Linked DNA regions of Pelodiscus sinensis. The protein of the gene in region 1 interacts with the protein of each later gene in a pairwise test. Links are inferred from orthologs where the notes say so. Each region holds a gene or a part of one and is shown in the gene's direction. Other genes may lie near its edges. The genes, in order: UBQLN1, SRGN, TMUB2 and RIC8A.

Evidence for each region.
Region 2: the proteins of UBQLN1 (region 1) and SRGN interact in binary tests that used the Homo sapiens proteins (3 or more experiments, as listed by UniProt). The two-hybrid records come from large-scale screens. The link is inferred for Pelodiscus sinensis from reciprocal best matches to the Homo sapiens genes UBQLN1 and SRGN.
Region 3: the proteins of UBQLN1 (region 1) and TMUB2 interact in binary tests that used the Homo sapiens proteins (3 or more experiments, as listed by UniProt). The link is inferred for Pelodiscus sinensis from reciprocal best matches to the Homo sapiens genes UBQLN1 and TMUB2.
Region 4: the proteins of UBQLN1 (region 1) and RIC8A interact in binary tests that used the Homo sapiens proteins (3 or more experiments, as listed by UniProt). The link is inferred for Pelodiscus sinensis from reciprocal best matches to the Homo sapiens genes UBQLN1 and RIC8A.

Annotation. Positions count from the first base shown.
Region 1 is NC_134716.1:40,477,776-40,484,812, reverse strand, and holds the start of UBQLN1 (ubiquilin-1), read left to right. Parts: upstream 1-4,013; 5' UTR 4,014-4,281; coding exon 4,282-4,443; intron 4,444-7,037. UniProt on the Homo sapiens protein: Plays an important role in the regulation of different protein degradation mechanisms and pathways including ubiquitin-proteasome system (UPS), autophagy and endoplasmic reticulum-associated protein degradation (ERAD) pathway.
Region 2 is NC_134718.1:28,745,703-28,752,564, forward strand, and holds the start of SRGN (serglycin), read left to right. Parts: upstream 1-3,846; 5' UTR 3,847-3,911; coding exon 3,912-4,002; intron 4,003-6,180; coding exon 6,181-6,328; intron 6,329-6,862. UniProt on the Homo sapiens protein: Plays a role in formation of mast cell secretory granules and mediates storage of various compounds in secretory vesicles. Required for storage of some proteases in both connective tissue and mucosal mast cells and for storage of granzyme B in T-lymphocytes.
Region 3 is NC_134739.1:7,421,874-7,429,004, reverse strand, and holds the start of TMUB2 (transmembrane and ubiquitin-like domain-containing protein 2), read left to right. Parts: upstream 1-4,114; 5' UTR 4,115-4,272; intron 4,273-6,451; exon of another isoform or gene 6,452-6,505; intron 6,506-7,131.
Region 4 is NC_134714.1:124,579,740-124,586,811, reverse strand, and holds the start of RIC8A (chaperone Ric-8A), read left to right. Parts: upstream 1-4,060; 5' UTR 4,061-4,402; intron 4,403-6,365; 5' UTR 6,366-6,467; coding exon 6,468-6,551; intron 6,552-7,072. Other genes in the region: BET1L (BET1-like protein), read right to left, coding at 1,393-1,411.

The DNA of each region.
Region 1 (7,037 bases):
GAGCATGTGGCATTGGCAGGACACTGGGTTAGATGGACCTTTGGTCTGATTCAGTATAGTTGTTCTTATGCTATGTTCCTATGTTTGTGATGAGTTTTGCTTTCTAGTTTTTCATGTGCTGCTGGCTAAAGGATGTGAGATTCACACCAATGCAATTTAATGTCTTAAAGTGTTTTATTGTCCCGAGAGAGACAAAAGTTATTGAGCTTCAAACTCTTTATCATCTGAACTGAAAGAGTAGGTACATCAAGAAATCATATTGTGATGAACTTTCCCCCGCACCTGAGTAATTCTATGACGAGGACCCACTGTAGTGCATTAGTAAGTCATTTTGCATAACTGATTGCAATACATTACTTGTTCCCATTTTATTAAATGATCTAATTGAATCAAAGAATTAATAATCTGCCTCATTCAAACTAAAAAATTATAAAAGATGTTCCAAAAAGCATGAAATTATGTAATTGATATTTGTGAGACTACATTATTTTGTGATACCCTAATTTCACAAATGTTGTAGCTGGGATTGAAACATGTAAAACCTACATGTAAAACCTATGATTTCCTTAGTTACCACTACTTGTTTCATAGAATCATAGGAGATTAGAATTGAAAAAGACATCAGGTGGTCATCTAGTCCAATCCCCTGCTCAAAGTTGGACCAAATTTAACTAACCTGTGGACTGCAAAAGAAATTCTGCCTTCCAATCTGATGTTTGATTTCTGTATAAAATGCTGTTCCAAGATAATTTCCAGTGCTCTGTGCTGCTGGAACTGTTACAGTTCAGGGCAAATACCTGTATTTCTACCCCACCCTCAGCTCCCTAGCTGTTGCTCTCAAGTGGACATTCATATCTCTTTCAGTCTGATCATTGTATTTCCAGACTGCACAGTTCACAGCCTTTTGTATGTTTCCTACCACAGTCTGCTTAAATAGAGCTGCTTGCTTTCTTTTCAGAGACTGGTAACAGAGGAAATGCTATAGGTATGTAGCACACATTTCCTCCTATACCTTAAGGCTGTGACTAGACTGGCCAGTTTTTCCGGAAAATCAGCCACTTTTCCGGAAAAACTTGCCAGCTGTCTACACTGGCCGCTTGAATGTCCGCAAAAGCACTGACGATCTCATGTAAGATTGTCAGTGTTCTTGTGGAAAGACTATGCTGCTCCTGTTTGGGCAAAAGTCCTTTTGCACAAAACTTTTGCAGCTCAGATTTGTTTTCCGCAAAAAAATCCCGATCGCGAAAATGGCGATCGGGGCTTTTTTGCGGAAAAGCGCATCTAGATTGGCACGGATGCTTTTCCGCAAAAAGTGCTTTTGCAGAAAAGCGTCCGTGCCAATCTAGACGTGCTTTTCCAAAAATGCTTTTAATGGAAAACTTTTCCATTAAAAGCATTTCCAGAAAATCATGCCAGTCCAGACATAGCCCAACAGTGGTGGTATTGCTGTGGATGCTTCCATTATAGTTCTGTAGTCCTTTTTAAATGGTGAATGTTTATAATAGGAGAGAAATCTTGAGTAAAGATTTCAGATTAGGTGTTGATTGCACAAAGTAGGTGAGCTCTGAAGCAGGCCTAGTGAGATGAAAGAATCCTCACTGCCAGCCTTAGTCTCAGCTCCCCACCCACCCTTTGCAGTAGAGCAAGACTACTGCCACTCCATACCCCACAGTGAAGAAACACCTAATTTTGCTATGACACATAGGCCTGCACCAGTTTTGCTGACAACACCACAGCAGCAATAGCGGTATGGTGACCATATTTTCTGAACCAAAATTAGGGACACATTAGCCATGCCCCTGACTTCCATTAACCATGCCCCTATGACCTGTTAGCCACGCCCCCATCACAAGAAGTCCCACCACTGAAGGTAGTACTCCTTAGGTCAAGATGGACACATGAGCATAAGTAAAGGGTGACCCTTCTAAGAACTCTTCCTACTGTCGTCCTACCAATAGGGATAGGTTTGGCCCACACAGGACACTCCCCATGAAACTATCCTGCAGTTACATTAACCCGACTTGCATTGCATTAACTTGGGGAGAGGGGCGGAGAGGCTGGGGGAAGTGTTCCCTCTAAGATTTTCCTCCCATAAGCAGAGTGAGTTTTGTCTTGTGCACCTGTATTGAGGTCATGTCTGCTTGTTGGGATGTGTGCCACTGTGGCACCCAAGTTACTAATAAACATCATAAACCTCTCCCTTTTCCCCTCTGCTGCCATTGTCTCCGTCCCTTCCCCTATCTGTTCCCCCACCCCTCACTCTCCTCTGCTGTCCTGCTCCTGCCCTTTTCACTCCCCTCAGCCCTGTGGGGACCTGCCCCCCTCTCCCCTGCCCTGCACCAGCCCTTCTCTTCCCCTTTTGCCCACTCTGATTATCTGCAGGTACCTCTCCCCATCCTTTCTCCTAACACCTCCCTCTACCCACTACCCTGCGTCTCTTCTCTGGGGCCCATCCCTCCCCTCAACATGTCTGCCCTTCTGCTTTACCCCCATAATCTCCTGGTACCTGCACCTTCCTGGTGCCTCCTCCTTCCCTCTCTGCTCACCCCCTCACCACTCTCTGCCCCAGTTCTCCTCATGCCCCCTGTGCCCTCACCTACAACTTGCTCCATCCCCTGCCTTCCTCATGTCCACCCCTCCTTTCAATGCTGCTTCTCCCAGCACCCACTTCACTCCCAACCTCTCCTCTTCCTTCCTCTTGCCTCTATATTCCCTCCCCTTTTCCACCCCCCACTGACACCTTCCCTCCCCCTCCTGCCTTTTTCCTTTGTCTCCTTTTGAGAAGAGGCAGGGGGAGAACTAAGAAGAGGGGTGAGGAGAGGGAAGGGGCTTGTGTGGAGGGGAGGGGAGGGGAGGTGGGGGGCAGCAGAAGAAGAAAGGGGGCAGGCAGCGGCAGAGTGGAGGAGAGACAATTAGTACGGGGATGTAACCAACATTACAAAGGGATTGTACTGATATTTGATTATTCTGGGCCTGGGAGCAGAGTGGAGTCTAGTGGTTATATGCAGCACAGCCAGCCATCTAACTGGGCAGGCATTCTGAAAAGCAATATGACAAAATAGATATTACAATGAGTGTGCTATCTTGATGATGTGCTCTATCCTTAGCAGCTCTGCGTGGACCTTTTGCAAGTGCTTGGTATCACTGGCCCAATAGTTTTTAACCTCGTGTGTTGTCCATGGACAGCAGTGGCCAATTGATGGTTTAATGAATCTGGGAAAGGGACAATACACTAGAACACTAGTTCTTAATTTGTGATTGCTGGGTGCTTAGGTACTCACAACCTATCTCTGAGGTTAGCCAGAGCCTCTGCCCCTCTCTTTGAAAAAAAGGGGGGGTGCACAGGGAAAAGTGGTGATCTGTGTCCTTAGAAGCTGGGAGGGAGACAAGTAATAGTTCTAGCCCCTAAACAATTAATTCCTGGCTTTCTCACAACTGCGTCGAAGTTATGGTATGTGTGAGTATCAGCTGCAATGCATGACACCATGATGAAGCAGCTCTGCACAACTGGGCCTCAGATTTCCGGGGGTGGGGTGCTAAAGCTGGCACTCAACCTATATGGCCTGGAGCGCGGCTACCCTATGGCCCCCGACTCTGCACCACGCAAGTTGCAAAGGGACACCTAGGCGCCTGGTTGCTTCAGAAACACCAGTAGTGAATTAACTGCGGCCGAGCGGCCCGCACTGCACGTGCTGCAATGGACGTGGCCTGGGGATACTTTGGACCCTCTCCACCCCCCGCCGACAGCGACGCACTAGGAGAGAGGGAGGCGGGGCATCAAGGCCTCGAGCCAAAAGCGTCAGGAACCACTGACGTCTCGCTCAGCCGCTCAAGCGCACGAGGCCGCACCTGCGCACTAGGCAAAGCGAACGCATAATTCGAGTCCCGTCAGATGACATGAGCAGGCGCGCTAGTTACACGTGAGAACCGAAAGGAGTCGCACGGCGGCTAACCATTACTCTCGCGCACTATCGGCCAATCGATATTGCGCGTGCGCGCTTGTTCAATCACCTGTTGCACATGCGCGCGAGGCTTAGCCCTGTGTCCTATGCCTGGCGAGACAACATCCCTTTCTAGTAACTTCCCTCATTCGAGACGTCATCAGTGCGCGCAGCGCCCGATCTGGGTTGTTTCCGTTTAACTCTCCGGGAGGGAGAGCGTCGCGGGTGTTTTCCGGTGTCGGCGCGCGAGGCAGCGGCGCTGAGGAGCCGGGTTTGCGCAGCGTGCCCCGCGCGGCGAGAGCGAGCGAGACCCAGAGCCAGCGGCCCCTCTCCCCCTGCCATGGCTGAGAGCGGAGAGAGCCCCCCCGGGGCCCCCAGCCCCCCGGATTCCCCCGCCCCGGGAGGAGCCGCCGACTCGGAGCCTCGAATCATCAAAGTCACCGTGAAAACCCCCAAAGAGAAGGAGGAGTTCGCGGTGTCCGAGACCAGCAACGTGCGGCAGGTGAGGGGGGCGGGCCCGGGAGGCCGCGCCGGTGGGGAAACGGGGCAGGCGCGGCCGTGGAGCTTCCTGCCCCCTACTCAGTTTCCGAGCCCCGGAGAACGGCAGCCGCGCGCTCCTGCGAGCGCGGAGGTTGGCGGCGCTGTCCCGGTGCCGAGGCCAGCCGCAGAGCGGGGCCCTCCCCGCCAAGCCAAGCCAGGGCCCTGCCGGGTGACGAAGCAGCGCCTCGCTGAGTAGCACTGCGCTGCCGCTCCTTGCCCTGGCCCTGCTTATTTCCCGCTATAGTACAGTTAGCCCCGCGACTAGCCGGCGCCGGCTCGCCCACGGGCAGCGAGTTCTCGGAGAGCAGAGAGGAGCGTCTTTACCGATCTTTGCTACTGTAAGCTGAGCCTAAGCCCAGTTAGCCGAGTGGCGCTAACTGCGGGAGACGGGGCCGCGAACTGCTAATTGAACGGGTTACCAGTCAGGCGGAGGTTGGTGATGAAAGAAGATAATAGCAGCCTTCACCTGATAGTCCTCATGGCTAAAGAAAGTGGTACAGGACGTGTTTCAGTTAGGAAGTGTGCATGTGATGCTTTTACCCTAAAAGAGTATTGCGGTTTAAATTAGATTGAAAAAAAAATCGCTAGTTAAATGTGGAAACGTGTTAGTGCTATTACACAATAGTTTCTCTGGTGTGGTGTAGTCATGAGCTGTTAGAATCTTTTTTTCTGTAAGTTTTTATGACAGCCAACTTGTTCCTTTGCAACTTGCGTTCATAGGAAAGAATGCTATCTATTGAATCAAACAATTTCCTGTGATATTCTTTTTTTGGAGGCCTTCCATCCAAATATTGACTAGGCCTGATTATACTTAAGCAAAATGCAGGACAATGGAGCACTTTAAAGACTAACAAGATGGTTTATTAGATGATGAGCTTTCGTGGGCCAGACCCACTTCCTCAGATCAAATAGTGGAAGAAAATAATCACAACCATATATACCAAAGAATACTTTGGTATATATGGTTGTGACTATTTTCTTCCACTATTTGATCTGAGGAAGTGGGTCTGGCCCACGAAAGCTCATCATCTAATAAACCATCTTGTTAGTCTTTAAAGTGCTCCATTGTCCTGCATTTTGCTTCAGCTACCCCAGACTAACACGGCTACACTTCTATGATTATACTTAAGTGATGCTTGGAGTTTTGTGGTTGCAGGCTGTAAGACATTACCAGTGAAACTGTAAAGCAACTAGCAAAATAGTTTCCTTGCTCATGAAGGAGACAAACTGCCACATTAACAGAGCTACAAAAATAAATGTTATCCATGGGAACTCATTTTATATTCCTTTTTGTGTGTGTAATTATTTAGCATCCCTAGAGATGCATTAGATGCCGTTTAAATTTAAACACCATAATGACTTCAGCCAAAGCTGCACCCTTCTTTTGTAAGGCTTTGTAAGTAGATTTTTTGGAACATGACCAGTGTGTGGAATGGTGTGGTAGCCTATTTGATAAAGGCTATAACTTCTGGGCAGATATAAAGGACAAAATAGGAGCTCCAGCAGCAAGAGCTAGGATCAACACCCTGGTTAGAAGCACAGCCCCTTGCTGCTACTAGGAAGGGGGAAGATGCTGAAATTTCTATCCTGGTATTCCTCTTTGGATCCAACTCAGAAATCTGATTTTTTTTTTTTTAATTAAGATCAATTTTTGATTGCTGGGCCAGAAGTTTCAGGAAGGCCTACCTCCTGATGGCTGAAAGGGGGCGCGCTTTGTCCATTAGGAGTGGTGTAAGCTTCCGAGTTATGAATTCTATCACTCCCCATGCAATGTAATTAAGTTGACTTAAGCCATGGTGTAGAAACTGCTAAATTGCCAGAAGAATAATTGTCAGCCTAGCTACTTCCTGTCAAAGGTGGATTTATTAGAACAATGGAAGAACACGTTCCACTGCCATACTATTTGTCTATGCTGCAGGATCATAGCTTGTAGTATTTCCAGTGAAAACATACCCTTAAGCTTTTCCAGAATCTCCTGACTGCTGCACTTGGGTAGGCTCTGTTACTCTGCCTTCAAGCTTCATTTTTGGACTTGTGCTTACCTAGGCAAAATTCCAGTGCCTCTCTGATACTTCTGGCTTGCTTTTGCAAGCAACAGCTGTGTGAAACTGACACTTTTTCCATTTCCCCATTCACCTGAGAGTTCTGAATAGCAGTAATGAAACTGATTACTTTTATTTCACTTCTTTTCTAAAATTTTGCAACTTTTGACAATCCAGCTAAGAGATGCAAAGCCTTTTCAGTCATATGGACCAGTCTTTCACTTAAATTAATAGGTAATAGGTCTCTTCTATGTGGTTTTGAGCCTGTTAACCCAGAGCTGTTTGTTGTTTAAAAATGACAACACTATAAACACTTTGCATTTAAAATTTTTTCAGAATAATTTTATTATGTATAGGAACTATTTTAGAATTGTCACTTGCCATGAAAAGCTTTCTACTTGCAGATGGGTTTTCCAAGTCCTGCTTAGGCTCTGTAGTAATTAGGGACGTAAAATCCTGTTTAATTGGTTAAATAGGTAAACATATTGTTTAACTGGTTAACTGATTAAAAAGG
Region 2 (6,862 bases), on another chromosome or scaffold:
TTTCATAGTCCATATTGTGTTGATCAACACCTTTTAGTGATTCCCATGTTCTAGGAAACCTATAATTTATTTATGCAGAAAATTAATAATATATTTTAAAGTACAATGAACTCTTTTAACACCTATTATCAGGGATCAAGTCTAAGAGGGTACAGTGTGTATTTATCCAGAAAAAAACACTTATTAGATATTTGGAGAGTATGGATAGGGAAAATTTCAACAGGCCTCTAACAAGACTCCTCAGTTTGTGAATTTAGATTCCACTCCTGCAAACAGGATCTGTTATAGATGTGAGTTTTTCTTTACTGCCCCTTTCAGGTTTTTGTTGACTCTTAATGTTAAATCTGAGTCCTTCAAGTTTTTCTTTAAGATTTTTCCTTCTAAGTTGTTTGCTAGTTATCACTCAGATATCTCCTTTTACTCATTGCTTTTCTCATTTCTGGCTTCTGACTTCTTAAATCTATGCAAAATTTCAGAAGAGTAAGGAAGCCTCTACAATCTGTTGTCTTCCAGAAATTGCAAGGGCATGCAGGTTGTTTATTGTTACTGTAGGACTTAAGAAATAGGCTTGTGGCATTCAGGTGAAGATCACACTGAATTTCATACAAAAATGAAATTGTGATTATTAATGAAATATCTGCCCTCCTCTTCCATTGAACTCTCTTGTGCTTTCACTGTTGTTCCCTTATGAAAGCAAGCAGCAACTTATAAACACTCTGGTCTGAAATGTGGCACTGAAAAAAGGTACAAGTTGTCCTCTGAAAAGAACTCCACTCATCTAATGGGTCAGAGGTCCACTTTGCTGGCTTCTATAATGGAAAGCCTTACCGTGTGTGTGTAGATAGATTTATTTTACTTTTCCAATTCAAAGATATTAGGAATGTAACTTTAATGAGAAATATAAAGCAATTGATAAAATAAGGATGGACACTGGGGCAGTCAGTTTTGAGTCCACAAAATGTGATCTTATTTGGCACCCTGAGATGCACCCTGTTTCTGTGTTCTTCAGCAGCATTGATGGTAGTGCTGGAGTACAATAGGCTGAGAGCTAAGCTATACTGAAATCCTTTCAGGGTTTGCCCTCTTTTTGAAAAAGTACTGTCAAGTCTCTAGCTCCAGTGAATTGTTTTTGTAGCAGGATTCTGAGGCATGTCTTCAGTAGGAAATACCACAGGAAGACTAAGGCTATGTCTATACTACAGCTTATGTTGACATAACCTAAGTCACTTGGGGGATAAATAGATCACCTACCTGAGTGATTTCAGTTACACCAACATAAGTGCTGGTGCCTGCAGGAGCTTAAGACGTTAAATCAATGGGAGAGCTCTCTCCTTTCAGCTTAGAGTGGCTGCACCAGAGAGCGGACAGCAGCACAGCTGCACTGGGGCAGCTGCACTTCAGTAAATGTTGTAGTGTAAGTATGCCCTAAAATCTCCTTCAGATACGTGAAAGAGACTCCTCCCTTTGGAAAGAACAAAGGCCTTACCCACATGGGAAGTTTTTTCAGTATAGCTTTTTCCACTATAACTATACTGGCAGGTTCTGTATCCTGACAAGGTCCCAGGGCTGCAGAACTGGGGCTGGAGGAGTTCTGTGTCCCTGCTAGTTAGTGGTAGGACCCAGGCCCCTTCTTATCTTCCCGTGTGCATTCTCCTGTATATTGGCATTACTGTGATGAAAGAATGTGTCAAGCACGTCATTGTTTATGCCAGCCTTAGTTATGTCACTTGTGAATCAAAGTATTTGTGAAAGGAAACATTATTAAAATGGTCCCATTTGTAAGGAATCCAGAATGTAATGTAAAATATGTTAATCTTTGAAGTTAGCCTCAACATTACCAGAGAAGGTTAAAAGGATAGGCCCAACCTGCAAAACTTGTATCTTGAGTAAATGTGATTTTTGTTAATACTCATATTTCTGTGTGATAGCTGCAATACATTGGAAACACAGAATATTCAAAGACTTTTACATTGAGATGTGACAAATGCTATGGATACCTGAGAATATTCACAGACTATTTCATTACCTTTGTATGTTATATGTATCTTTATGCTAGTGATTGTATTTCTAGGTCAATGGGTGAGACAAATGGTTCCAAATGAAATTCACCAATTAAAATCACTGGGCAAGGGGGCAGGAAATAATGTAAATTTTAATGCAAGTAACAAGTATGTGGAAGTTTCATACCCAGAGGAGATAGCACATATATCAATTTGTCCTGGTTGAAAAGGCCTGGCAAACAAAGAACTGTAAACTGTATAAGGAGGTTGTTCTTATCTGGCAATTGTCATGAAACAGTTCAGGCCATGTTGAAAGTGCCTGAAGCACTTTAATTTTATCTGAGTCACCATATGGAAGATAGCTGACTGCCTGGTAAATTTGATCTGCAAATAAACTGTTTATTTTTATTATATATTTTCTCTGTAATGCTATTTAATCAGAACAAAAGCACTTTGCCTTATGAAAGCTTGATGGGCATTGGTTAACTCTGTTATTGCTACTGAGAGAACAGGACTGCAAGGGTACGTCTAGACTACATGGCTCCATCGACAGAGCCATGTAGATTTCTTTGTTCGGAAAAGGGAAATGAAGCCTCGATTTAAATAATCGTGGCTTCATTTAAATTTAAATGGCTGCCGCGCTGAGCCGACAAACAGCTGATCAGTTGTTTGTCGGCTCAGCACGCTAATCTGGACGCTCCTCTGTCGACATGAAAGCCCTTTATCGACCTCCCCGGTAAACCTCATCGTACGAGGCATAACGGGGAGGTCGATAAAGGGCTTTCAGGTCGGTGCGGGAGCGTCCAGACTAGCGCGCTGAGCCGACAAACAGCTGATCAGCTGTTTGTCGGCTCAGTGCGGCAGCCATTTAAATGTAAATGAAGCTGCGATTATTTAAATTGCGGCTTCATTTCCCTCTGCCGATCAGCCTAATCTACATGGCTCCATCGACGGAGTCATGTAGTTTAGACACACCCTAGGTGCTGACCTATAGTGAGATGGCCTAAGAGAATCACAATGAATTACAGGAATCTGCAGTATAAATCCCCAGTCTGGAGAAAGGGCATTGTGGGATCCATTTCCAGAAAGGTGAAAGCTAGAGATATGAGAACTAAACAAGATGCCCTCAAAGAAGTCATGCATGGGTCAAAGGTGCAGTTATTTTGGAATTGTGACATATTGTTCTAAAACCTAGCTGGACCCCTGGGGAATCAAGTGGAATTTCTCCTAAATATTCAGAAAAAATTCTCCTCATTCCTATTAAGTAGGTCCAGGTTTTCACCCTTCAAGAAATAAAAAAACAGTTGGAATACAAATCCTGAATTTAAGAATTTTTGCAACGTGAGAGTTTCACAAGCTCTGTAAGCTTCAAGTTTCACACTGATTATGCTACAAATAATATGCTTATGGCTTGCTTTAGAAAGGGGAAATTTACTTCTGTTGCCAATGCAGCACTACAGTTGCCTACTTGCCTGAAAGTTTGGGATATCAACAGATTGCTACCTGGTTTTTAATTAGGAGTGACAAATTTACAGTAGACCTCTGGCGGCTGACATGTCTGCAGATACTATATGCTTTGGGGAAAGTCTATAGGCAGGCTGGATTGTGTCACATATTTCTGGCCTCTCATTTCTAATCGCTGAAGTAACTTTTTTATTATGGTGCTTACTGGGACCTCAGTAACTCAGGAAAAACGTCTCTTGAAGTCAGTGGTGATTTTTGTCTGAGTAAGAACCACATAACAAGACTCTAGTTTTTTATTGTAGATGCTTCAGTTCAATCAGGAAGTTGTGACGCAGGATATGGGCTGGGTTTGAGGTTTTGGAAACCTTTTCTAAAAGTCTATCTCATTGCCCCTCGTTTTATTTCCTAAGTGTGAAGCTGTAGTGAAGAGTGGCAGAGTGTGGAGGAATGCAAGCCAAAATGCAGACTCTTGTGAGACGTAATGGGAGGATTTTCCTGGCTGTTTGTATAATCCTCTTTATGGGATACTCAGCACAAGGTAAAACAGTGAATGGTTGTTATTTCTATAATCCTCTTTCTAAACTATGTAGTATAGGCCAAGTAAGGTACTGTTGATTTTAAAGAAGAATTCTGACAATTGACCTTAAAGTAGAAATAATAAAACCTACTTTTTATAAAATGATTTTTTTTTGTTAAATTTTCCATCAGCATAACTTTTTGTATCATGCAAATTGTGATAAAACTGCCTTTGGCAAGTGGATCTTTTCTGTCCTTCTTATGTAGATGTTATGTGTAGTTAGTATTAGAATTTATTTTATAAAAATGATGTAATTGATGGCTATAAAAAGTTATCGAAGTTCTATCTATATGAATTTCTTAGCCAACTGTTTTTGTAGTGGGTGAAATACATCAACATCGTGCTATTATCTGAGTAATTTACAGATTTTTTCATTCAACTGAGTCTGAAATACAGCAATCTAAAATGGATCTACATTTCAGGAAGTAAGGACTTCAAGTAGACCTTTATTGGAGTTGTTTCAATCAACAATAAGGCTGATAAATCACCTATAGATAATATGTAAAATTACAGAAAGTTACTTTGTAAAAGCAGCTATGGTGCCCAATTTTGCTCTCATTTATACCCTTTCAATGTATTGACATTAATGTGTTTGTTTTGGGATTATAACAGATTGTTGAATGTAAGATCTTAACAGTTAAGAAAATATTTGAGAAGATGCATATTTCTCATATTATAGATTCATTTTTTTCATGGGGAAATAGGACATTTGTGTAAGTATGGGGAAGTTAAGGGTTTTATTCAATACAGCAAGAATTACAACACCATGCACTATAACAGCTAAAAGGAAACGTTGGTTCACAATGACACAGACATCCTGGACTTATTAGAGACATCTAGTTTTCAAGCTATATACGTGTATTTCCTGTAGAGATATTATCACAGTTATCTGCATTAATTAGATACCTACTGGTGTTTCCATCCTAAATATTATTTTCTTTGGTTGATTATTACCTGACTTTTATGCACACAAAAGGCATGGTACTTTCTACATTTATTATACACAGACTTTATTTTTAATAATATACAAATAGAATAACAATTAAAAGAAAAGACTCTGAGAGAGATGTGAAATAATTGTTATAAGTAACTCTCCAAGCACTTTCTGTCTCCTGTAGAAGAAATGTGTGTATCAGTGTCGGAACAGGTTTTAACCCACTGGAGGAAAGAATGTGCTTGGAGAGTTACATTGTACCTTGGAAGAGTGATTCAGTACAACATGGTAATAGACAATGTTACAAGGGACTGTAGTTACCAAGAAGAGACATTTTCAAAGAATAAAACGAAATTAGATGGAAATACCCAGAGAAGGAGAATATAACATGAGGATTCAGATGCGATTAGTTAATGACAGCAAAAGAAGAATGAAAATTTTGGTTTCAAACAGTTGTTTGTTGGTTTATTTTTTATTTTGCAACTTAAATTTAAAAAAAAAAGCTTTTTCAAAATTAGATGTGAATGTAGGTTAGACACTGAGGGGACGGGAGGAAGTGAAAGAGCATCTGAAAAGTGTTTAGTGAATATCTGCAGCAGCTACTTTCCAAGTCAGTAAATACACACTGCACTCTATGCTACAGAGCCTTATTATTAATGTAGAGATCCCACAGGAGGGTAGGGAGGAAATCTCTGTTAGGGTTCTTAATTCTGTTGGGGAGGTTGGTTACCTTTGACATTCTGGGGCATCTGCGGAAGGGTAGGGAAATCCACAGAAAGGCTCTCAGTCTCCACGCCAGCTCTGGCACCTGGGAGCTATAGTGTGCTCGGCACTTCATAAGATTAGAACCATACTTTGCACATTGCTATGTGCCTTTCCAGCCTCTGTGTGTCTTTTTCATCCCTGTCCGTATAATTTGGAAATCTACTCTTTTTGGCATGAGAGACATCGAACTTTATATAGCTGTTTCACATGGAATTTCTGTAGTGTTTGGAAGCTGTGCGCATATGGATGTAATATGGAATACAGGAATATTACTGATTAATTAAAAAATATCTTGCCAGAATTGTTTATGGTTGGGCAATTACTAAATACATGCATACAGTTATAACTGCCAGTTTCCTAATCAGATGTTCATAAATTAACATAGTCCATAATATTGACTGCATTCATTCATACTAATAGTGTACAAATAATTTGATCAGGTGTTCCAGTGCAGAAAGCAAGATTCCAGAGGGTAAGATGCAGACCAGACATCTTGTCTGCTAACTGCATTGAAGAAAAAGGACCGTTGTTTGAAATTTCTGAAGGTGGAGCTAACAGAATTCTCCCTCCCAAGGCTGATCCATTTCTGTAAGTAAATGAATTAACCCCTCAATATTTGTGGTTGACATCAATAAGCTTTCAGTATTCCTAACTAAAGTGCTTACATCTTTGACTTCTAATATACATAAAAACTGCCATTGTAGATCAGACCAATGGTCCATCTAGCCCAATATCTATCTTCCAAGAGTGGCCAGTGCCAGATGCTTAAAAGAACTGGAAACCAAGTGATCTATCCCCCACTGTTCATTTCCAGCTTCTGGCAAACAGAGGCTAGAGACACTCAGAGAATAGGATTTCATCTCTGACCTGCCTGGTTAATAGCCATTGATGGGTCTATCCTCCGTGAACATATATAGTTCTTTTTTGAACCCTGTTATGGTTTTAAATATCTATCTATCTATCTATCTATCTATCTATCTATCTATCTATCTATCTATCTATCTATCTATCTATCTATCTATCGTTATGCATTTGATTTTCTTTTGCATGTTGAAAGAGTCTGAATTTTTAAAAGTAATAGTACAAACATGGCCTGATTTTGAAAATTACAGTAAACTAATG
Region 3 (7,131 bases), on another chromosome or scaffold:
AGGACAGGACAAGGAGTAATGGGCTTAAAGTGCAGCAGGGGAGGTTTAGATTGGACATTAGGAAAAAATTCCTAACTGTCAGGGTGGTCAAATATTGGAATAAATTGCCAAGGGAGGTGGTGGAATCTCCCTCTCTGGAGATATTTAAGAACAGGTTAGATAGACATCTGTCAGGGATGGTGTAGACGGAGCTTGGTCCTGCCTTGAGGGCGGGGGGCTGGACTCGATGACCTCTCGAGGTCCCTTCCAGTCCTATGATTCGCCCTGATCTTCTGGCACACTGGGCAGGGATCCTGCAGCAGAAGGAAAAACAAGTGCCTGCAATTGAAGGGGAGATCTTTGGGGAGGACAAGTCCCTTTGGGCAAGGAGTGCTGCCTGGCTGCTTCCTGCAGTGGAGACAGGCGGAGCTGCTGGCATGTTGAAGGTGCTGCTCGGGGCATGGTAGAGCCCAGCAGTTGTATTTTTATCTGATATTGCTGAGCCATTTCCTTGGTGACAAGGCCCTTCCTCGTGCCCTGGAAGCCAGGGCAGTGCTGTTCCCCTTTGTTCTCCCTCTGTAGAACAGGGATAATGCCTTAACCCATCTCCTATAGAACATTAGAACTGGAAGGGACCTTGAGAGGTCAAGTCCAGTCCCCTGCCCTCACAACAGGACCCAGCACCATCCAAACCATCCCTGATAGGTGTCTGTCCAGCCTGCTCATAAATGTCTCCAGTGATGGAGCTTCCACAACCTCCCTATGCAATTTGTCAGGGTAGTTAAACACTGGAATAAAGTTTTTCTTAAACCTCCCTTGCTGCAGTTTAAGCCCATTGCTTCTTGTCCTATCATCAGAGGCCCAAGGGAACAATTTTTCTCCCTCTTCTTTGCTGACGGAAGTGAGAGGTGGGGCTTGAATCCAACCTCCTGCTCCAAGCCAGACTCTGGCACTGACATTCCCCTCCCTCCCCCCCGCAGTTGGAATACGACAGACCATTCCCCAGGTCACACCCTGCCGGACATGGCGGAATCAGGATCCGGGGCTCAGGTTGTAGAGGTGATACACATGAGGATAGCAGCTGCAGGGACTCTGAAGACATCACTCGCTAGTGCAAAATGGTAGGGTTCAGGGTGGGAGAAGGCAGGGCCATCCCTACCGATGCTGGTGCCTTTGCAGCTGAGGGAAAGGGGTTGCCAACACTCCCGGTCCATGCCAGGAGAGTTGACAACCTGGAGCAAGCAGGGAAGGCGGTGTGGGCTAGAGGAGCAGCAGGTGGTCACACAGCCGGCCAGAGAGACGTGGCCCCTTTACGGTGAAAGTCCTGCTTCTCTTCAGCCACCTGCTGTGCAGCTGCTCCCTGCCCAGTCCTCTGGCCCATGAGGGGCACTCATCTCCGGTAAGTGGGGGCTGGGCACAGAGCCCTTTGGGTGCAGCTAGCAGAAGGGGCAGAGGGCGGGCTGTCACGGGATGGGGCGGCCAGAGCCTTAAGACAACATGCGGTTGCATAGGGCACAATAGAATTTGGATCAATATGGTGCCTCAAATGTCACGGTTCTTTGCACAGCTGTGTGTTTTGCCTCTTGGTAGGGGAGGGTTAGGGTATGTGGGTCTTTTTTTTTTCCTCTTTCCCCCTTGAAGCATTAAGCAGGGGCCACTGCCCCAGACAAGATCATGTAGCATCACAAACTTTAGCCTGAGCTGGGCTGGCAGCTTGCACAGGGCGGCAGCCACACCAAATTCTAAGGGTCTGGGTCCCTTGAAAACATTGTAATGCAGGAAGCTTCTGTACAACAATGTGCCCCCGCCCTGGACGGGATGCGATCAGACGTGCTGAACCGTGTGCCTCAGCCCTCAGCTGCACTTTGGTAATAATTGTACTTAGCCCCCTGCAGGATGTGGTTTCTTCTTAATTCCTTCTCCTGCTAGGTTACATCCTGTTGGTGTTTGCTATTAAACAAAAGCCATACTCTACCCAAGAGATGGCTACTTCTCCTTCCAGGGCGGTCTGTCAGAGATGGGGTCTGAATCTGGGTCCCCTAGCCCCTATCTCCAGTTCTACTATTCCCCTGCGGGATGGCCTTGAGCAAGTTACCTCCCTGTTCCATGCCTCAGTTTCCCTGCATGTGAAAGTCTGGGGAGTGGGGCAGGAAGAGTTAAACCCCTCTAACCAAGCGAGGCCAGGTTCCTGGAGCCAGGCACAGCTCCTAGTCCCACCCCGACCCTGACCTTGTAGCCAGGCATGGATTCCAGGCACCTGTCTTTACAGCAAAGCTGTCTCATTGACTGAGCCTAATACTACCAGCCACTATATTCCTCACACAGTCCTGCCATTGCACTCTTCCTCTGCTGTGTCCTCAGAAAAAATAGCATATCTTTGTTAATGCTGCCTCCCTTTCAGCACTGTCCTTATGACTTCTGGTGCCTGGGGTGTGGGGCAGCAGCTGTTTCTTGTAACTGGACACGTGTTTCATAATCGTGCTTGTGGTCTAGTCACTAAACACTCGTTGAGTCACATCAGGTAATGGCTGACTGCTAAATAGTGACAAGTGTTTAAGGTGCTTAAATACACAAATGCTAGAACTCTAAATAACATGGGTGAACTCGAGTGCCTTGTATTGAATGAGGCTCTTAATAGAATGAGGCATCACAGGAACTTGGCAAAAGGAGGATAATTAATGGGACACAGTAATACCAGGGTACAAAATATTTCAGGAGGTTCTAACAGGGTGTGCTGGTGGGCGAGTGGCACTAGATGTGAAAGAAAGGCTAGAATCAACTCGAGATCTTGGAGTCTATGTGGAAAGTTCTTTGAAAACATACTATGTGCAATAGTTAAAAAAAAAAAAAAAAAAAAAAAAAAAAAAGCAAACCATGTTGGGACTCATTAAGAAATGGATACATAATGAGACAGAAAATATCATATTGCCTCTATAAATCTGTGGCATGTCTGTATCTTGAATGCTGGGGGCAGATGTGATCACTTCCTCTCAAAAGAGAAATATTAGAATTGAAAAAGATTGAGAAAGGGCAACAAAAATGATCAGGGTATGGAACAGCTGCTATAGGAGGAGAAATTAATAAGACTTGGATTTTTCAGCTTAATAAAGTGACAACTAAGAGGGGATATGGTAGAGGCTTCTAAAATCATGACTGGTTCCATGTTCCATATGGTTTCATCCAAAACATTTCATTTCCTAGCTTAACCATGGTACGGAAAGTTCTTCTAAATGTAATTTGCACTACTGTGGGCAGTTTGTTCTCACCCCCTCTCCTACTAATTATCACTTACTAGCACATTAAAAAATACCAAATAGTCCCTAACGTGCTGCAAGCCTAACAAAAAATGTAGATGGTATCATGAGTATTCGTGGGTACAACCCACTCACATGATTCCCCACCTACAACACGTGCTTTATTTCCGGCCACAGCCATGTCCAATGGGACCTCATAAATTACCCGTTTGCACCATACATTTGGGTGGCTGTCCATCTGCTTTTACTTTCCCTAGAATGTTAGTGTCCAACCTGTTCTGTAGCACTGCACTCCAGCAGCACCACTCCACCCCAGTACGTTTCCCAAGGCTTTTCCTGGAGTGATTAACATCTCTAGCTGCTGGCTCAGCAGTAGAGTCCTGTGTGGGCCTATTTTTTAATACCTACTCCACATGGTTCTTTAATGTCGAGCTGGCTCCTGCTATGACCCATGCGAGTCCCGCAGGACCCAGGGGCTCCCAGTCCCACAGCGGGGCATTACGCAGCATTTGGACCATTGCAACCTTGTGGGTTCACCCCTTCCCCTTGGCCCCACCCTGCAGCCAGAGTCTCCTAGGTCTTGTCTTTTCTGAGCTGCCCCCCAGCTTCTGCCCCACTTCCTGGGGACACTGCTGGGCTGAGCTAGCCCCTGCCAAGTTACCCCCTTGCCTCCCTTATAGGGACCACAGAAGTGGAAGCCACACCCCTTTGTTACAAGCCCCGCCCACTCGTCCTGGCGCCGCCCCCTGCCCAACTCTCTTGAAGGGACCTGTTATGGAGGCGGGCTTGGATCAATCCGACCAATCGCCTGCCTCCTGGCCCCGCCCCTTTCCCTCGCGGCTCATTTTAACTACGTCACCAGCGTACGCCGACGCGCTCCTCCCCCACCATCCGGCCCGCTGGGCGGGTCCCTCTGACGTTCGCAGCGCGCGCGGAACGTAGTTGAGCTCGGTGGGCGCGCGTCTGACGTAGGCGGCGTGTGCTTGTGACGCGGCGTATGGGGCCTTCGGTAGGGAGGAGGCGTCTGCGGGAGTGCCGGGTAAGTGGTAGTGACCCCCCCCCCCCCGGCTTAACCCCCCCGCCTCGGCCCGGCCCCTCCCCGCCCACGAAGGGTGAATCCCCCGCTCGACCGCTGTCCTGGGCTCCCAAGCGCCCCGGCGCGGCCCTTCCCCCCACGGGGTTTGCTCCCCCCCAGCTCCCCCCCCGCTACTCGGCTCCCCCCCCCGGTTCTGCCCCCCCTCAGCTCCCCCCCCCGCTACTCGGCTCCCACCCCCCCCGGTTCTGCCCCCCCTCAGCTCTCCCCCCCCCGCTACTCGGCTCCCACCCCCCCGGTTCTGCCCCCCCTCAGCTCTCCCCCCCCCGCTACTCGGCTCCCACCCCCCCGGTTCTGCCCCCCCTCAGCTCTCCCCCCCCCGCTACTCGGCTCCCACCCCCCCGGTTCTGCCCCCCCCTCAGCTCTCCCCCCCCCGCTACTCGGCTCCCACCCCCCCGGTTCTGCCCCCCCTCAGCTCTCCCCCCCCCGCTACTCGGCTCCCACCCCCCCGGTTCTGCCCCCCCCTCAGCTCTCCCCCCCCCGCTACTCGGCTCCCAGCCCCCCGGTTCTGCCCCCCCCTCAGCTCTCCCCCCCCCGCTACTCGGCTCCCACCCCCCCGGTTCTGCCCCCCCCTCAGCTCTCCCCCCCCGCTACTCGGCTCCCACCCCCCCGGTTCTGCCCCCCCTCAGCTCTCCCCCCCCCCGCTACTTGGCTCCCACCCCCCCCCGGTTCTGCCCCCCCTCAGCTCTCCCCCCCGCTACTCGGCTCCCCCCCCCCCGGTTCTGCCCCCCCTCAGCTCTCCCCCCCCGCTACTCGGCTCCCACCCCCCCGGTTCTGCCCCCCCTCAGCTCTCTCCCCCCGCTACTCGGCTCCCACCCCCCCGGTTCTGCCCCCCCCTCAGCTCTCTCCCCCCGCTACTCGGCTCCCACCCCCCCGGTTCTGCCCCCCCCTCAGCTCTCCCCCCCCGCTACTCGGCTCCCACCCCCCCGGTTCTGCCCCCCCTCAGCTCTCTCCCCCCGCTACTCGGCTCCCACCCCCCCGGTTCTGCCCCCCCTCAGCTCTCCCCCCCCCGCTACTTGGCTCCCACCCCCCCCCGGTTCTGCCCCCGCTCAGCTCTCTCCCCCCCCCGGTTCTGCCCCCCCTCAGCTCTCCCCCCCGCTACTCGGCTCCCCCCCCCCCCGGTTCTGCACCCAACTCTCCCCCCCCCCGCTACTCGGCTCCCACCCCCCCGGTTCTGCCCCCCCTCAGCTCTCTCCCCCCGCTACTCGGCTCCCACCCCCCCGGTTCTGCCCCCCCTCAGCTCTCTCCCCCCGCTACTCGGCTCCCACCCCCCCGGTTCTGCCCCCCCTCAGCTCTCTCCCCCCGCTACTCGGCTCCCACCCCCCCGGTTCTGCCCCCCCTCAGCTCTCCCCCCCCCGCTACTTGGCTCCCACCCCCCCCCCCGGTTCTGCCCCCCCTCAGCTCTCCCCCCCCCCCCCCGGTTCTGCCCCCCCTCAGCTCTCCCCCCCGCTACTCGGCTCCCCCCCCCCCGGTTCTGCACCCAACTCTCCCCCCCCCCCGCTACTCGGCTCCCACCCCCCTCAGTTGTCCCCCCCCCCCCCAGCTCTGCCCCTCCCCCACTACTTGGCTCCCACTCCCCCAGCTACTCCCCCCCCCCAGCTCTGCCCCTCCCCCGCTACTCGGCTGCCACCCCCCCCAGCTCTGCCCCTCTCCTGCTACTTGGCTGCCACCCCCTCCCAGCTATTTCCCCACCCCCAGCTCTGCCCTTCCCCCGCTACTCAGCTGCCACTGCCTCCACGGCTCTTCCCCCCCCTTCCTTCCCCCCAGCGTGGCGCTGCCCCTTAACAGGGGTTTAACCCCCCCAATGTCTATTCCTCTGTAGGGTTTTAACCCCCCCCCCCTTTCCTCCCTTGAGGACTGCTGTGGAGGCCATGTTATTGCTTGGGAACGTGCCCCCCCCCCCCCATTAGTGCCATCTCCCCACTCTGTGGTGTTAACACGCAGTCCATGGGAGGCTAATCCCCCCCCTCCCCCCATGTGCCCTCCCCACCCAGGCCTGAAAGGCTTTGGTGCTTCCCTGAAGCAGAGGAGCCTTACTGCAAGGTGTCAGTCCCCTGATCATGGAAATGGGCAGGGAAAGTCCAGGGTCAAGGAGGGCTAGGAAACGAATTTCTTCCTTAAACAGGCAGGATTCCTGCATGGCTGATTGATAGAGGGCAACCCTGTGTCCCTGGCTGTGGTAGGTGTTTTCTCCCCCTACATTAGTCATAGATTTTTGTGGCAAAGGTCTCTGGGATTCAGTACTCTCTAAAAAAAACCGGAAACACCATTTGAAAACAGATATCACATTCTATTTGATGCACCCTAGCCAGGCACCTACTGGTGTTTTCTTAGATTAGACTGACAAGGGTGCTGTGTGTGTGAATCGCACTAGTGCTTCTCTAGGGTTGCCAGATGGTTTCAACAAAAATACCGGAAATACTTGACATTACATCACAATCTACATTACATCTTATTTAGAAAATAACTGGACATTTATATTTTCTCATTTCTCATTTTCCCAAACAGAAAGCTCAAATACTGGACTGTCTGGTTCAAAACCGGACACCTGGCAACCCTATGTTTCTCACAAGTTCTGTGTAACCTGCAGCAGCCCACCTGTGAGGCAGTGAATATTCCCATTTTACAGTTGAGGAAAGTGAGTGAGAGACTGGGAGGGAAAGTGATTTATCATGGTCACATAATGATTCAACAATAGAGCCAGGACTACTACAACCCAGGGGTCCTGACCCCAAGTCCCCTGCATTAATTACTAGATCACACAGGCTTCTATGGTAAATTGTACTGAATGCATGATTGTAAACT
Region 4 (7,072 bases), on another chromosome or scaffold:
TTGTGCCACATGCCTCATTGTCCCACTGAGTCCCACCCCCCCAAGACACATCAACCGATACTGCCAGACCACTGGCTGCCCACAGCCTCCCTGCCCACAACCCTGCTCCAACCTCACAGACAGCCCTATTCTACCCTAGCCGGTCACAGCTCCCCGCCAGCCCCCCTTACCCACAGCTCCCAGCCCCGCAACCCCCCGCCAGCCCCCCTTACCCACAGCTCCCTGCCACCCCCCTACCAACAGCTCCCCGCCAGCCCCCCTTACCCACAGCTCCCCGCCCCGCAACCCCCCCGCCAGTCCCCCTTACCAACAGCTCCCGCCCCACAGCTCCCTGCCACCCCCCTACCCACAGCTCCCCGCCCCACAACCCCCCGCCCGTCCCCCTTACCCACAGCTCCCCACCCCACAGCTCCCTGCCACCCCCCCATCCACAGCCCCTCCTGTCCCAGTCACCCCACCCCACAGCTCCCTGCCACCCCCCCTACCCACAGCCCCTCCTGTCCCAGTCACCCCGCCCCACAGCTCCCTGCCACCCCCCCTACCCACAGCCCCTCCTGTCCCAGTCACCCCGCCCCACAGCTCCCTGCCACCCCCCCTACCCACAGCCCCTCCTGTCCCAGTCACCCCGCCCCACAGCTCCCTGCCACCCCCCCTACCCACAGCCCCTCCTGTCCCAGTCACCCCGCCCCACAGCTCCCTGCCACCCCCCCTACCCACAGCTCCCCGCCCCGCAACCCCCCGCCAGCCCCCCTTACCCACAGCTCCCCGCACCACAGCTCCCTGCCACCCCCTACCAACAGCTCCCCTGCCAGCCCCCCTTACCCACAGCTCCCTGCCACCCCCCCCACCCACAGCTCCCCGCCCCACAGCTCCCTGCCACCCCCTACCAACAGCTCCCCGCCAGCCCCCCTTACCCACAGCTCCCTGCCACCCCCCCACCCACAGCTCCCCGCCCCGCAACCCCCCGCCCGTCCCCCTTACCCACAGCTCCCCGCCCCACAGCTCCCTGCCACCCCCCCTATCCCAGTCACCCCGCCCCACAGCTCCCTGCCACCCCCTACCAACAGCTCCCCGCCAGCCCCCCTTACCCACAGCTCCCTGCCACCCCCCCACCCACAGCTCCCCGCCCCGCAACCCCCCGCCCGTCCCCCTTACCCACAGCTCCCCGCCCCACAGCTCCCTGCCACCCCCCCTATCCCAGTCACCCCGCCCCACAGCTCCCCACCAGCCCCCCTGATCTCTGCCCCCCTCCCCCTGCGTCACCAAACCCGTCTCAAGCCCCTGCCTGGCCCCGCCCCGCTGTTCCTTCTCCCCGGGCCCGGCGCGAGGGCGGTGGCGGGGCCCGGGGCTCCCGTTGCAGCGGGACCGCGCGCGGCGCCCGGCCGGGCTCACCTCGGCCCCAGTCCGCCATGGCCGCGTCCTGCCTGCGCGTCCGGCCGGCGGCTCCGGGAGGAGGAGGAGGACCGGGAAGGGGGGGGGAGGGGCGCAGTGACTCCGCCTCGCGGGGCGGGGCCTCCACTGCCCCCAGCTGCTGGGGCGGAGACCGGGGGCTGGGCTCAGCCCCGCGCGCTAGAGGCGCCGGGCGAGAACGAGGCCGGGCCCTGCTGTCCGAGCAGCCGTGCGCGTGCGCCACACCCACCGCAGGGGCTGCAGCCCGCCCACACCCCGCCCGGCTGTCCCGTTTCTTTGGGCTTTGCGTTCACACGGGGCCACCCCACGGGCTCCCTTTTCAACCTGAGTGCAATGGGCTTTTGTCCGGGCTCCTAACGTCGGAGGGAAAACATGGGGAGGTTTATTAGGGTTGCTAATGAATGGCAGTGTTAACTCTCCTAATTAACTCAATGGATTAAAATCATCCTGCTTAATCACCACTTGACAGCACGCAGTGAACCTGTGGAACTCCTTGCAGAAGGATGTCGTGAAGGCCTGGACTTTAACAGGGTTAAAAAAAACCTGATACATTCATGGAGGTTAATCTATAAATTATTATCAGCGGCTGGAAATGGATGACAGGAGAGGGATACATTGATGATTCCCTGGTCTGGTCACCCCCTCCGGAGCACCTGGCATTGGCTGCTGTGGGAAGGCGGGATACTGGGCTAGTTGGACCTTAAGTCTGACCCAGTATGGCCATTCTTTTTTTCATTCTTATCTCACTGGACATGTATTAAATATTTGTGGATGTTTTCTTACCTTTTCAAATACACTGATTTCAATTACCACACAACACAGGCTGTATAGTGCTCACTTTATATTATTTTATTATAAATATTTGCATTGTAAAAATAGCCCAGCACATGTCGTTTGTTTTAAGAACATTTTCACTACAGATTTGACAAAACAGGAAGAAGGCACCAATGTGAGATTTCTAAAGAGAGCTACAACACTCCAAGGTTTAAGAGTCTGAAGTGCTTTCCAAAATCTGAGTGGACTAAAGTGTGGTGCATGCTTTCAGAAGTCTTAAAAGTGCAACATACCAATGCAGAAATGGCAGAATCCAACCACCACCAAAAAAAATCAACCTTCTGCTATTGACATCTGATTCAGATGAAGAAAATGAATATGCATCAGTCTACACTGTTTCGTATCATTATCAAGCAGATCCTGTGAACAAGAAATGGGCAGCAGTTCTCTTGCAAATGTAAACAAACTTGTTGAGTGATTGGCTGGACAAGAAATAGGACTGAGTGAACTTGTAGACTCTTATGCCTGGTAGTTACTATTAACATAACTGGAGCACCAAGAATGGACAACTAGCAAGATGGGATGGAAAAGAAAAACAGCAATTGAACATTGACATTTAGCACATACCTTGTTATCTTCATGTTTGCTATTTTATACTTAATAGCTTAAATATTACACAATATTAAATGAAATATTTTTTAAAAAGCTAATAGGATAAAATCATAGTCAAAGAATAGGTTTGCCCAGCCCCACTTGATTGTTTTGCTTTAGGGATTTCTTTCATCTGACTTTCTCCGGACAATGGGAGAGGAAAAGATTTTACATTGTTTTATTTCTGAACACAGTTATTTTTATACATAATTCTACCTTGAGTTCAACTTTCATGATAGAGATTGCATTTCAGCACTTGTATGAGGTGAATTAAAAAATACTATTTTTAACAGCACAAATATTTGTAATCACACTTAAAGCCAGCCCTGTACTCTGATGTGTTGAAAGTGAAATCAATATATTTGTAGAAAAACATCAACATATTTAAATAAATAACATTAAATTATTTAACAGTGTGATTAATCACGATTAAACATTTAATCACTTGAGAGCCCTAATGTTTGCATTACAAATAAGGTTTCAATTAAACGGAAAGCATTTCTGTAGCTTATTTTAATAAAGTTAACATCCTGGCCTAAACTTCCTGTGTCTGTTTCACACAACAACATATTATTTATTTAGCCCTTGAGCCTGCAATTTGATCCATGTGAGCAGCCACCTGGGCCTGCTGAGAAGCATGCAAAGATCCAGTAATGGGGAATAAATGGCGGGATCTAGGCGTTAGCTTCATCAGTAGGACCACTCAGGGAGGAAGGTAGTGTGCCTGGTAGCTAGTATTAACACAACTGGAGCACCAAGAATGAACAGCTAGCCAGAAGGGATGGAACCGAAAAACAGCGATTGGGCAGTGACATTTAGCACATTCCTTCTTATTTCTATGTTTGCTATTTTATACTTAACAGCTTAAATATTACACAAAATTCAATGAAATATTTTAAAAAAACAATAGGAGAAAAACATAGTCAAAGAACAGGTTTGCCCAGCCCCGCTTAATTATTTTGCTCTAAGAATTTCTTTCATCTGACTCCCACCAGACAATGGAGAGGAGACGATTTTTCTTTGTCATTAATCCTGCCAGAGAAGGGTGGATGATCAGCACCTAAAATATTTCCATATTGCATCCGTTGTTGAAAATTCTTATGGCTGATCGCAGGAAGCTATCTCTGCCCCTCCCCCGATTTCCAAACCTCCAGTAATACAGCGTTTCTTTTGTCTGTACTACTGTATCGTCTTCTCTCTCCGACCTGTTGCAATCCCCACCCCCATTCTGAATCGGTTGTCGGATGTCAGCACGGTCCTAACTTCCGTATGAGTTACATAGACTCTTTCCCTCCACCCTTGGACAGTGGGGAGGCGGGAAGAGAGATTAAGACCTTCCCCAGTTGGTGCCCCATCCCTGAACCCTGGGAACAGCATCCCGACAGGGTAAATGCTATCACATTCCACCCTGAGCCGGCCGGCCAGCGTTCGAGCTTGCAAAATCCAGCTTTTTTTAAACAAAGCAGCTGCCTGCACAAATCGCTTACATTGGAGAGATGGGGGAGAGACAAGCTGCAGTGTTCAGGAAATAAAGCAAGAAACCTAAGCAAGGAAAACTAAAGTAAAGGTAATGTGCTTATTATATTTTCTATGTAACATCTATTAGCTCCTACTATTTGTTTACACTCCTTTTCTTTACTCTGGAAGGTAGAGCTGTTTTAACCAGTTTAGCAACGTTTTATCGTTTAAAATAAAGCTAATCTGATAATTATTGCCATGGTATAATCTATTTGTTAGTCTCTTAGGGGCCACAGAACTGCTGTTGTTTTTTTAAATTACAGACTAACAGGGCTACCCCTCTGAAAACTGTTATAATAGTTATTGTTAATTGTTTCAGGACATTTTGCTTCTGTGACCATCCCTCAGTATTGAAGAGGTACGGTCTCTACTTTTAGCAAATTAGTTATCATTTGTCCCATCCTGTCCTTCCAAATTGATGAGGATTTCTGTAAAGACTGATTTACTATGAAAGATGAAAAGACAGAAATGTGTATGACTACAGGCCCTGAACCTGCAAAGGCATTACCCCCATGCAGAATTTTTAGGAGTCCAGTTGATTTGAAAGGACTGCTCACAGAACTAAAGTTAAGTTCAGGTGTAATTGGTGCAGAATTGGAACTAGAGGGAGCAGCACAAAGACCAGCATCTATACATTTTTGGTGGATGTGGGCATCAAAAAGAGACTGGTATTGGGTGGGGAGAACTTCTCATGAGTTAAACAGAAAAATGCAAGATGAAAAACAGGAACAAAATCCAAATAGCGAGGTTTGAGAGAAGTGTTCTAGTCCCATGGGAAGTGCTAGAAGCTTGGAGTTGGAAGGAAAGTACATTGTCGTGAACAATCCTGTATTGGCCCAAAGGGGGTGGATTAGAGATGAGCTGCCTTTTTCAGCTTTAATGTCTACATTTCCATGGGATCTCTTTTGAGGAGTTTGGGGTTTTATTGTGGTTTTGAGAGCTGTGTTCCTCTCTGTCTTCCTCAGCCGTCCTAGTAGCTTGCAAACTTCAGGGGGAGCATCATGCTGGGCAGCCAGTAGGCACCCTTAAACTTTATTGTGACAGTGCCATAGAATTGGTGCCCACCACGCAATGAGTTTCAGGTGGAGCTTCTGAATTGGGGTGGGGAGAGAGGTGTATGGGACTTGTCTCAAGACCTTGGCTTTATTGGGGGATTTACACCCTCAATATTTAGTGCAGAATTGAAATCTAGCTATAGAAAATATTACCCTACACAGCCTTATGGAATCATATTCAATAGTGTAGTATATTAACAATCTCTCTCAGCGCTGTCCGTCAACAAAGTGCTTTACAACCAGCCAAATGCCTAGCCCCAAAGAATCTATGAGTATTATTGGCATATAAATGCACATCTAATTATTTACTATAATTGTAAAACACATTCGTGTCAGGAATGATAGAAGCCCGCTGCCCCTATGTTGGACAACAGTGGCCTTTTATCCATCAAGCCAGGCATTTTTATAATGCATTTGGCATATTCATCTTCCCCAGTTACAGACCTACACAGATGCCTCAGAGTGCTAGATTCTTTCGTAAACAAACAAAACAAAATTAAAGTGCTTTCAGTTGACGGACTTCTTCGTGCCACCTTAAAGGACAGCTCCACCTTAACCCAGCCTGCATGGGGCTTGTCTGTCTGTCTTGCTCTCTTGTGCATCTCTTTTATTCCACAAAGAAATTTCTGGGTTTTTGCTGTGCAGGAACAGAAATCAGGACAGTGGGTGGAAGGGGAGGGCTGCAGGGAGCTGCAGTTATCTGTTCTGTGTTAATCTTCCCACTGAGGAAGGGAGGGGGGTTTCCTAAGTGCGTTGGTGGGAGGGTGTTTATTAAACATTGGAAAGTAAAGAGAGGGAGAGAGAGGATTAAAGGGAGAGAAGAAGAGAAGGAGTTAGCGCCTGGTTTTATTGGGGTCATCCATCTGCTCTGCCCTTTGGCTGTAATAGAGTGAGCCATTTCACTTGCTTTTCTCTCTCTGCTCCTCCCCTCTTCCTTCCTGTGGTCTGTGTGTCAAGGTCCCTGTGCATCCGTAATTATCCGGGTAATTATCCAGCAACGCTGCAAGCCTGCCCACTCCACCCCATAGCGTTCCAGTCCCTGTCCAACCTGCCGGGGCAATGGAACTCAAGAATGTGGTAGAGACTGTGGAAAATGGAGAACAAGATGCTATCCTCAAGGTGCTGCAGATCTACAACCAGGAGGTGAGTGTTGGGTTTGTGCTAGGCCTGTGCCAGTGCTCAGCTTCCATGTTTACGTGTCTGGCAGCAGGTTGGCTGGGGAAGCCATGCTGTGGGATTTCTTGCCAGCCAGCTGTCCCTGTCTGTCTCCTCTACCTACATCTGCCTGTGTGTCACTTCAATAAAAGTGCCATTAACCTGCTTAGCAGCTACATTTTGTATTTGTAGCATCAGTGATTCCTGCATGTATGTTTTGACAGTGACTGATCCTGAGCATTTAGTAAACATCTCCCCATCCTGCTTCCCTTGTGTATTGGAAGTGAAGCACTCAGCTCAGATTTTTAGCATCAAGGGTACAAGGGAAACATGTCAGAGAAATGAATGAAGACGCAGGGACTAAAGAGATAGCAAGGAAGAGACCTTTATGGTAAAGGAAGATTAGGAGGTAACATCTGAGGCCTAGGGAGCAAGCTATGGATGTAGTAGAATTATTATGGTTCACAACTACAAATAATGAAGGGAGCATGTTAACGGTAGGGATTTGC